3 linked regions of the Xenopus tropicalis genome follow. The protein of the gene in region 1 purifies or fractionates together with the protein of each later gene. This does not show direct contact. Links are inferred from orthologs where the notes say so. Each region holds a gene or a part of one and is shown in the gene's direction. Other genes may lie near its edges. The genes, in order: sf3b3, sf3b6 and u2af2.

Evidence for each region.
Region 2: the proteins of sf3b3 (region 1) and sf3b6 fractionate together in Homo sapiens (co-fractionation; 5 studies listed by BioGRID and IntAct, with this or other methods). This does not show direct contact. The link is inferred for Xenopus tropicalis from reciprocal best matches to the Homo sapiens genes SF3B3 and SF3B6.
Region 3: the proteins of sf3b3 (region 1) and u2af2 purify together in Homo sapiens (affinity purification with mass spectrometry; 4 studies listed by BioGRID and IntAct, with this or other methods). This does not show direct contact. The link is inferred for Xenopus tropicalis from reciprocal best matches to the Homo sapiens genes SF3B3 and U2AF2.

The regions. Positions count from the first base shown.
Region 1 is NC_030680.2:75,031,252-75,034,905, forward strand, and holds part of sf3b3 (splicing factor 3B subunit 3), read left to right. Parts: intron 1-494; 5' UTR 495-542; coding exon 543-612; intron 613-992; coding exon 993-1,319; intron 1,320-3,654. UniProt on the Homo sapiens protein: Component of the 17S U2 SnRNP complex of the spliceosome, a large ribonucleoprotein complex that removes introns from transcribed pre-mRNAs.
Region 2 is NC_030681.2:145,722,341-145,726,094, reverse strand, and holds the start of sf3b6 (splicing factor 3B subunit 6), read left to right. Parts: upstream 1-1,349; 5' UTR 1,350-1,366; coding exon 1,367-1,396; intron 1,397-3,111; coding exon 3,112-3,230; intron 3,231-3,754.
Region 3 is NC_030683.2:104,045,969-104,049,622, forward strand, and holds part of u2af2 (splicing factor U2AF 65 kDa subunit), read left to right. Parts: intron 1-166; coding exon 167-302; intron 303-394; coding exon 395-498; intron 499-1,474; coding exon 1,475-1,626; intron 1,627-3,654. UniProt on the Homo sapiens protein: Plays a role in pre-mRNA splicing and 3'-end processing. By recruiting PRPF19 and the PRP19C/Prp19 complex/NTC/Nineteen complex to the RNA polymerase II C-terminal domain (CTD), and thereby pre-mRNA, may couple transcription to splicing.

The DNA.
Region 1 (3,654 bases):
TGTTTAATTTTATGGAACAATTTAACAGGGAACGCCAAATTCTTTTTTCCGGTGTATGTTTATTAATAAAACCATTAATAGCAAAATTTCTGAAGATGGCCAGCTACAATGCTTTTGCAGTTAAATATCCTGTTTCGTTAGAGCCAAGATTAGAACTAAAGTATATGCATGTTTACAAAAAGGGTATAATATGTGAAGAACAAACCTTTAGGCCATACTTTAAAGAGTTTCATAGGTGAAAAGAACTAAATGAAATAACTAAACTGAATAACTGAAATTGCAATAGGAAGAACATCTGGATTGAGCATGGGCTGTGCACCTCTGAAACATTAGAATCTGTTGGAATAATGTAATTTATATGTTTTTGGCAGTTTAATGTGTCTGTGCATCAGTCATCCTGCATGTACAACAGGACGTTTTAAGACAAATTAGAAATTTTAATGTGTTCCTATTTTTGGATTGACACTAATACTTATTTTAATTTTTTCTTACAGCTTTGTGTTTGATATCCTTCTGTGTGAATCTCACCTCCTTATTTCATCATGTTTCTTTACAATATTACCCTGCAGAGGGCAACAGGCATCAGCTTTGCCATTCATGGCAACTTTTCAGGTGAGTTTGGGATGAGCAAAAAGTATTGGAGTAGCCTGAATAAACCCTGTTACCGTTTAATAGCATGAAATATGTATATGTGTATGTATGTATATATATATATATATATATATATATATATATATATATATATATATTATAATGTGTGTGAGCTGGCAGTTTGCTTGATGTTTTAAAATGATTATGAAAGTAACAGAACTGAGGGAACTGCCTATATAAAAAAAAAATTTCTCATGGTTTCCTATCTGTTAATATATTTACATTTTATTTTGCCAGTTTATGTATTAATTTTAAAAGGTAATAAAAGCTGAAATCATGCTGTTGATTAAAAGTTAACTTTTTTTTTTTCCTTTTTTTAATCTGTCATATTTGCCAAACAGGAACTAAATTGCAGGAAATTGTGGTTTCACGTGGGAAAATTATAGAGTTGCTTCGACCTGATGCAAATACTGGCAAAGTGCATACGCTTCTGACTGTGGAGGTGTTTGGTGTTATACGCTCTCTTATGGCATTCCGTTTGACTGGTGGTACAAAGGATTATATTGTAGTAGGCAGTGACTCAGGGCGCATTATCATCCTGGAGTACCATCCTTCTAAGAACATGTTTGAAAAGATCCACCAAGAAACCTTTGGAAAGAGTGGGTGTCGGAGAATTGTGCCTGGTCAGTTTATTGCTGTGGATCCCAAAGGCAGAGCTGTAATGATAAGTATGTTTTAATTGTTTTTTTCTTTTTTGTATTAACATAATTGTAATTCAATTTTATATACAGAACAAAATGATGAGCTTTCATGTCTCTTCTCTGACATAGACAGTGGAGAAAATGAATAACTCTGACACTTGGCTATATGTTTGATACTATTAAACTATGTTTTGAATTTGATTGCATATTTCTGTGCAGTCTAACTGTTACACCTATTGTACCACACAAACAATATCTTGTGTCGATGCTATATAACAAATAAAGGAATGCTAATGCAAGCTGAATGTAGATTTTCTTGTTCTTTATAAAGCGTGAAGCATATTATTTCTTTATAGAAAACAAGCATTTGTTAATTACATGAAGCATGCTACCATTCTGCTGGTATGTGTACTTTAGTCTATTATAAAACAGGGTTGACAACTTTGCTATAAAATATGTTAGATTGTTCAGGACAGGAGGTAACATTCATATACAGTGTGTTTCTAAATTTGTTTACATTTATGCCAATGTAGTATTTGTGTAATTAAAGAAAATGTCATTCCAAGCAGTTTTTCAGTGTAAAATTAAAAATGTAACTTACTGTATATACTCGAGTATAAGCCTAGTTTTTCAGCACCTAAAATGTGCTGAAAAAGTCACCCTCGGCTTATACTCGAGTCGGGTGCCATGGGTCCCTCCAGACTAGCACCCTCTGTCCTCTGTGCAAATTAGGCCACCTGCAACCAGACCCTCCAGTGCCCTGGCCCTCTCCCAAATTCATCTTCATCTACCATCCTCACCTGTCCTATTCTGCACTAGACATTGCACTTTATATTCTATATAAACTATATAGTTTTGAAGGATTTTACCTCTTTGTGTTTTTAGCTTTGTTGCTGATTGAACTAAGAGGGTAGTACTCTTTAAGTTATCATTGTTGATACCATATTGTTTTTGTTGACCCTCTTCTTCACTCACAGAGCTAGTTTACTGTTTTTGTTTAAAATAAATATTTAAAAACATATACCCCATTGATGCCTCATTTAATGTAATTTTATTGGTATTTATTTTGATTATTGAAACTTAGCAGTAGCTGCTGCATTTCCCACCCTATACTCGAGTCAAAAAGTTTTTCAAGTTTTCTTAGGTAAAATTAGGTACCTCGGTGTGTTTGCTACAGTAACACTACTATAATTTATATAATAAGCTGCTGTGTAGCCATGGGGGCAAGCCATTCAAGCTGGAAAAAAGGCACAGGTTACATTGCAGATAACAGATAAGTTCTGTATTGTACAATAGTGTTTTATCTGTTATCTGCTATGTGCCTGTGCCTTTTCTCCTTTGAATGGCTTTCTGAAGTAACACACAACTTTTACCAGTGCAGGGCAGCAGCACATTACGTTTTAGTTACTTTTATACACTTTCATTTCTCTCACAATAGCTTGGGGGACACAGGGACAGTGGGTATAGCTCCACCTGCAGGAGGCAGGACACTAGGAAGGTAATAAAAAAAAAAGAATGCTCCTCCCTCTCCAGCTATACCCCACAGCGCAGCCAACTGAAGCTCAGTTTTTTCTCCTAGTGTTAGGAGGTAGGACCAGGCTTAGTCTGCCTGCATCTAGGTTCAGAAAGTCCAGGATTAGCCTGGACACCTGGGGGGGGCTGATCTAGACCTCAAGCAGTAGGTCCTATTCACATCCTCCCCCCACCGCTGGATTCCCCTTGGGGCCACTAAGTCGCTTCGGCGCGGGCCATCTGGCAACATTCCTACCCTCTCTGAGGGATAGACGGCTAGCCAAGGGAGCGCTCAGTCCTGATCCGGGCTGCACGGGTAAGTAAGCGCCTCCCTTTCTACCAGGACAGGAGCGGCGCTGGCGGGACTTCCAGGTTCCCCCCTCCCAACCGGCCAACCGGGTATACTAACCCGAAGCGCCGGGGGCCCTCACTTCCGCATTTAAAAATGGGCGCGCTCAGCCTTACGCGCTCATTGGCTAATACTTCCTGCTCGCGCCCTCCGTCATTGCCGCCAGCCCTCCTGTGCTTCCTTTCGCGCCTTCCGCTCTACATCGTGGCGCAGCTCCGGGGGAGAACCAGCATTGCCGGCTTGCGACTCTCTCTCTGACAGCGGGTATTGCTCGGCCTGTAGGTAGGCTTCCACCCTCTCTCTCCCCTCTTTAGTACAACCTGCAGCGCAGTCTTCCTGGGGCATTTTTAGGCAAATATGGCGGAGGGCAGCAAACAGCAGTTGTTCCCCCGGGGCCCAGCCTCTTTGGCTAATATAAAGTTCCTGGCCTGTGCCAAATGCAAGAAGCGTCTGCCCACTGGGCACAATGAGCCTGTTTGTGAGGCATGCAGGCCCTCTGTA
Region 2 (3,754 bases), on another chromosome or scaffold:
CTGCTGTAATTTTTGTGCATTTTTGTGTGTGTGTGAAAAACATATTTCTTGGAACTCATGTGGCCACATATTTTCCTTTTCGCCAGTCCTTCTTTGGTTTATGGCAGAAATGTTATATTCAGCAAGAAAGGGAATTATCTGGGGGTTCATTCCATAGGTCTTTTAGCATTCAAAATAGATGTCTCTGTGATTAGAACACAACAACATACTCAAACTTACCTTGCTGGATTCAAGATTCAGTGTTGTGGAGACAACGGCGCCACCTTATGGACTTCACAAGGCTGCATTACAGCTTTGCCATAAGTAAAGTATTGCACATACTTTATACAGCAGGTTATAGCAGAAAAAGTGCACCAAGCAGGCAGATTGTAAGGCTTATTTAATAACATCAGTGCAGTTGCCCATAATCAGGAATTAGTTAATTCTGTCTACTACCAGTTATAAAATGAAAACAAAGATTGGGTGAGCCTGGTTTAGGCTACTACTTGCTTAGGCATTTAGTAAGAGCATACACATTGGAAACAAGGAACAGACTGGCTTCTAAAGTGCAAGCTCCTGCCCAGCAATCACTGCCAGGGAAGTGAAGGAGCCAAAAATGGTGTCCCTTGGCCCTGCTGTGCAGATTTGCATTTGGATACCAGGTATGGAGAAAAAGGGTCATTTCCAAAAGTTCTGGGTTATTGAGGATCCCTGAACTACAGGGAGTGTTGGGGAGAAAGAAGGGCACTACACACATTATTAAAGTAACATAGTGACACATCTGTGGGTTCAGGCAAATGCCAGAGGGGCTGCTATAAGATGCCATAGTCACTATTTATTGGGCTGGGGGGGCTGTTTGGGCCTCTGTGGACTTTAAATTCCAGACCTATTTGAATCCCAGTCTGGGCATGGAGACAAGTTTCTGCTAAATGAGAGAGGTGTTCCTCTGCCTCAAAGAGAAACCCCATCATTTATGCCAGACTATAAGGGCCCACATGGGCAGATACTGGCCGGTTACTTGGCCACTTATGATCAGGTCTCCAGCTTAATAGAATATCCCCTGCTCCAATCATTATCTGATCAAGCCTCGTTTATATATCAATCGGGATTGGGTGATGTCAGGGGTGTAAATTGGAAGCTGAAACTGTGCATGGGGAGCTGTGTGTGCGTCCACTTGCTGCCCCCAGAGGGCGCTCTACAGTGCTACAGTGCGCCAGCGCTGTAACTACCAAAGGACACGTGACTTCAGGAGGACGAATCAGCCTATCTCAGTAAGAGAAGTTGCCATTACGTCACACTCAGACTTCCTGTTCCGGTTTGTGCGTGTGGTGTTGGAAAGCGGATTGTTTTTATCGCGTCTGGGAAAGGTTTCTTATTCAGCGGCACCATGGCTATGCAAGCGGCCAAACGCGCCAATGTGAGTGTCAGGCTTTGGGGGTTTGTGGGGCGCCCCGATACGGCTATCATGCTCTGCTCATAAGGGCTATGGGGTACTGCTGCTTCTACCCCGGATACCGCAGCGCTTGTTCTGTGTACTGCGGGCTGTGCTGCGATTGGCTCTGTGGGGTTAGTTCTACCGCAGCTTTCCCTTCAGCCGTGACTTTACTATGTGTGTTACCCCAATGTTTCTATATATCTGTAACCTTGTTATGGGCTAAGGGGGCCCAGCCTGAAGGCCAGTTAGGGGGAGATTTGGGGTGAGTGCTTATTTGTGCCCTGGGTACCCCTGGAACTATAGCGGGGTGACTGTTACCCCAATGTTTCTATATATCTGTAACCTTGTTATGGGCTAAGGGGGCCCAGCCTGAAGGCCAGTTAGGGGGGGATTTGGGGTGAGTGCTTATTTGTGCCCTGGGTACCCCTGGAACTATAGCAGGGTGACTATTACCCCAATGTTTCTATATATCTGTAACCTTGTTATGGGCTAAGGGGGCCCAGCCTGAAGGCCAGTTAGGGGGGGATTTGGGGTGAGTGCTTATTTGTGCCCTGGGTACCCCTGGAACTATAGCAGGGTGACTGTTACCCCAATGTTTCTATATATCTGTAACCTTGTTATGGGCTAAGGGGGCCCAGCCTGAAGGCCAGTTAGGGGGGGATTTGGGGTGAGTGCTTATTTGTGCCCTGGGTACCCCTGGAACTATAGCAGGGTGACTGTTACCCCAATGTTTCTATATATCTGTAACCTTGTTATGGGCTAAGGGGGCCCAGCCTGAAGGCCAGTTAGGGGGGGATTTGGGGTGAGTGCTTATTTGTGCCCTGGGTACCCCTGGAACTATAGCAGGGTGACTATTACCCCAATGTTTCTATATATCTGTAACCTTGTTATGGGCTAAGGGGGCCCAGCCTGAAGGCCAGTTAGGGGGGGATTTGGGGTGAGTGCTTATTTGTGCCCTGGGTACCCCTGGAACTATAGCAGGGTGACTATTACCCCAATGTTTCTATATATCTGTAACCTTGTTATGGGCTAAGGGGGCCCAGCCTGAAGGCCAGTTAGGGGGGGATTTGGGGTGAGTGCTTATTTGTGCCCTGGGTACCCCTGGAACTATAGCAGGGTGACTGTTACCCCAATGTTTCTATATATCTGTAACCTTGTTATGGGCTAAGGGGGCCCAGCCTGAAGGCCAGTTAGGGGGGGATTTGGGGTGAGTGCTTATTTGTGCCCTGGGTACCCCTGGAACTATAGCAGGGTGACTGTTACCCCAATGTTTCTATATATCTGTAACCTTGTTATGGGCTAAGGGGGCCCAGCCTGAAGGCCAGTTAGGGGGGGATTTGGGGTGAGTGCTTATTTGTGCCCTGGGTACCCCTGGAACTATAGCGGGGTGACTGTTACCCCAATGTTTCTATATATCTGTAACCTTGTTATGGGCTAAGGGGGCCCAGCCTGAGGGCCACTGTCTCGTTGCCTGTGTGCACCCACTGAGAACTGTATTGTCTTAGTGATAGTTTCTGATTTATGCTGTTTGTGGGCAATAACTTCTTAAGAGATACTTTTTTATTCCGTGACTTGTCTGATGCTGCTTTGCTCTGTGATTTATTTGTGCATGTTTTTATATCATTAGTGCTTTATCCTGTGTGTGTAAATGTCACACTAACTGATATTAATACAACTCCTTCCCTTCTGTTTTACAGATACGCTTACCACCAGAAGTAAACAGAATTTTATACATTCGAAACTTGCCCTATAAAATTACTGGGGAGGAAATGTACGATATATTTGGCAAATATGGACCCATTCGACAGATCAGGGTGTAAGTAATCCTTTTTCTGCGAATATTACAGTGACAAACATAACCGGATGGAAAAGGTTTGTTTTTCAACTGAACAGTTGTTTAGCATTGTAGACTCATTCTTAAAGAAGACATATTGGATAGATGAAAAAAACTCTAATCTTGGGGGCAATTATGAATAATATCTGGTGCTGGTTTCACTTTGTTAAAAAATAATCCTATCTGTAAAAATTGGCACCTTTATTGGAGCTCCCTATAGATCCTCTCAGGTCCCTGTCTGTGTTTCAAATGAGGGGTGGGCATGTCCTAAAGGTCCCTGCCAGAAGCACAGTAAATGGGGGATAGCCAATCACAGCCTTGCAGTCACACAAGCAAAGACAGGCTTCAATTCCCTGTCGGGTCAGCCTAGCTGCTGATTGGTTCCTATCCTACAGTGCTGAGTGTCCAATGCAAATATGGCTTCCTATATATGTTATTACGTATATAGTGATTGCTTGTTCCCTGGACCATGGTTTTCTGCCGAATAATATAATGATGTAATGTTT
Region 3 (3,654 bases), on another chromosome or scaffold:
CCTGTCCTTTTTTGGGGGGGGGGGGGGGGTCCATTTTTTTTTTCTGCTGAATTTTACAAGTTTATTACCTCCATATACTAGAGAGAAAGTGCTGGTCAAATGTATTGCACAGTCAAGCTTGTGATTTGTGGAATAATTTTCTGCAACATTCCTCTGGTATCTTTAGAAAGGGACAAGGAAAATCGTCATCGAAAACGTAGTCACAGCCGTTCTAGAAGCCGAGACCGGAAGCGCCGCAGCCGTAGCAGAGACAGGCGAGGTAGAGAGCAGCGAAGTGGATCCAGGGATCGAAGGCGACGCAGGTAAAACTTGTAGATGTCTCTTAAACTATTGTGTAAATATGCTAACCCTTGCATGACTTAAATCTTCCCTTTTTTTTTTTTTTTTTGTCCAGTCGCTCACCAAGACATGAGAAGAAAAAGAAGATCCGTAAATACTGGGATGTTCCACCTCCTGGTTTTGAGCATATCACCCCTATGCAGTATAAAGCCATGCAAGGTAATTTGTTTTTAACATTTAGTTAATACTCATCTTTTTACTTTAGCTTTTGAAAGCTTTAAGGGTCATAATACAGCGTTGCTATTTAAATGAGTAACTAATATTTTTTTGTTTGAAAGGTATGTTTTATTACTGCAAAATAAAAGCTCTTTGCTTAACAAGGATTCTGTGCATTTATTTTGGAGCCTTCTGGATAATCTTGCATGTAATATATTTGAAATGTGAATTCTGATTGAATGTACAGTTTTTGTGCTTATCGCAGTATCTGCTTTATCATTTGTGTTATGTCTGTGTTTGGAAGTTAAAAGGAAACTGATTATCAGGGGCAGCTTCTTCTACACAATTATTGATGTAGCCTAAGTGCCATTGTGTTGGAAAAATGAATGTTAGACCATGAAGAGATACCCCTAGAGTACAAAAAGGGAATAGCATCAAAGGAGAAAGTTGTAAGTCCGCCCCTTGCATTAGGCCATACTCTTAAACAGGCAGTGAAATTTTGGGCTCCGGTTCACAAGTTACATTGTGAAACTACACTGAGCACAGAGAAGAGGTGAATATAAAAGGTAAGTGCAATATTTTGCTTTACAGAAAAGCTGTCCAGCTTGGATTCATTTTTATTGCACAAGGGGTTCTTCACATAGACTTCCCTTGTGGGGTAAAACAGCATATCATTCGACGGGAGTAAAAGGAGGACAATATCAGCTGTTTTGCTTCCCCTTTATAATTTTCTAACTTGAGTTTCCCAGCCAAAAGTTTTACACCACATTACCTATACGTTCAAAAGCAGAAAATATGAATTTACAGTGAGTACTAAACCTTCACATATTTGTAAGCTTGAGTATGGTATTGTCTGTCTTGTTTAGATATATTTTTTCTGGTTTTAAATTAACTGTACAATTGACTGTCACATGTCACTATTAATTTGTACACTTGCAGACCATTTATATTTCGCGTAACTTTTTTATCTTTTCCTCAGCTGCGGGTCAGATTCCAGCTACTGCTCTCCTTCCAACAATGACACCAGATGGCTTGGCAGTTACTCCTACTCCTGTGCCTGTTGTGGGTAGTCAGATGACAAGACAGGCCCGTCGACTCTATGTTGGAAATATTCCATTTGGAATCACTGAGGTATTTGCTATAGCCATTCTATTTCCTAGCTATAGTAAAGTATTGAGGTTGAGAAATGGCAGCACCAAAACATTTTTCAGCATTTCTTCAACATTTTATTTACCACTTAATGAAGGTATTCTTTGCCCCTTAGGTTAATAAGTATTTCATAGCTTGAAACATTCTCTTATCTCAGTTTCTTTTGTTATTGGTCTCAAGCTATCCGTATTGGTGGCACTAACAATTTTCCTGCATACAGCTCTTAAGCAGGGACCTGAATTTTGGGCTCTCAGACAAGTGCTCAGTAAGTCCCTGACAGGCGAGGATTTCAAATATACAGTCTGTAAATTTTTTAAATATGATTTGTTTGAATATTCGTTGTTCTGAATAGTTGTAGTTGGGCTTTTACTCAGTGCCCTATCATGGGTAAATATACATTGCCGTAGGTTGTTTCTGCAAGAGAACTGTGCCATCTCAGATACCCTTTTTTTTTTTTTTTTTTTTTTGTCCATCCTGGTACCAGCATTGATAGCTACCTTTGAATTATTACATAAGCAATCCATTGCTTTCTCTTTATACTACCACCCTTATTTTCATTTAAGCTGTATGAGTTTGGTTAAGTCACTCTTTATTTAGGGCCATTGTTAAACAGGCGTTATGTCATTGGAGTACTAGGTATAGATAGGTAGTGCAAAATAAAAAATGTTTCTGATAGCCAAAAATGTAATCAATAAAGGCTGGAGTTGGGAGGATGTTGAACATATCCGAAAACTACTTCCTCCTTGGCAGCTCTCTAACCTCTTAGTGACTTGGAGGGGCACATAAGACAACTGTTCAGTTACTTTGCTTTTGATCCTTAGCAATCTAAAGGAACAGTTATATCCCATATTCCCCCAAGTTACTGATTACAAACTTGTAACAGATAAGAGAACTGCAAAGGAGGAAGTTAGTGTTCTGGCAATTATGTAGACTTTATTTTTGACTATATTGAAAAGTTTTATTTTGCACAGCCTATCTATTTCCCCAGTTTAATTTTTACTGTAAACCGTTTAAAACCCTTCCTACATTTGGTCTTTTGGTTTCTGATCTTTAAGGGATATCAATGGTAAAAATCCTCCAGCCACCACATCCCTAATCCTGCAAAATCCTGAATGAAGTCCTTATTGCTTAATGTATTTCAATTGTTTGCCAGAAAGCCCACATACAAATAAGCATTATTTGGTGTAAAGTGTGTAAATGATGTGGCCAGTTAAATGCATATCCTTGTGTATCATTTGCTTAGTCAGTGGGCAAACCTTATTTATCTCTTCTCAGGCAGTAATACAATATTTGTCCTTAGCAGTTGGGGACTTACTGAGAAACATGTTTGAGACCCAGTGTCTGAGGCAATTGTAACATTAATACATTTTAAATAAAAATGGACCGTTACAAAGCAGTTACATTGAGTTCTGTTAAATAGTATTCTTAATCTAGTTGACACAGGTAAGGTATTTGGCAGCTGCTTTAAGCACGCTATAATGGCTTTATAACTGGTCTTTCGGTGTTATGGAGAAAAACTTACAGGTGGGTTTTTTCAAAACTTGGTGTCCCTTCTCCATGGTGTTTAAATGATTTGTTTCACATTTGATCATGTGACACATTGCTAAACCCTACATTTCTAATCTATAAAATGGGTATCGCATTTTTGCTTTTTTTTTTTTTTTTTATTCGGAACTGGTACTATGGCCCTGCACTCTAATGGAGTTTGTCTCAAACTTTTTTCCAAATTTTCCAGCAGTTAGCATGGTTTTTGCAGAAATGGCTGCTTTTGTTGAATTACAACAATAAACAACTTTGATTTAAAAGAAACCTTTTCTATTTGAAAAACAAGATCAAAGAGTTGTTTCCATTTCTTTTTAAAGTGAAAATTGTGGGGCTGAAATCCCTTCGTAGCAAAATAAGTTTGCTACCATCGTGCAAGGCAAGTAGGACATTCTAGATCTTAAACATGCTCTTTGTTGCTATTAACAGGGATATCAGACCACTTATATTTCTCTCCTCTTTTTACCT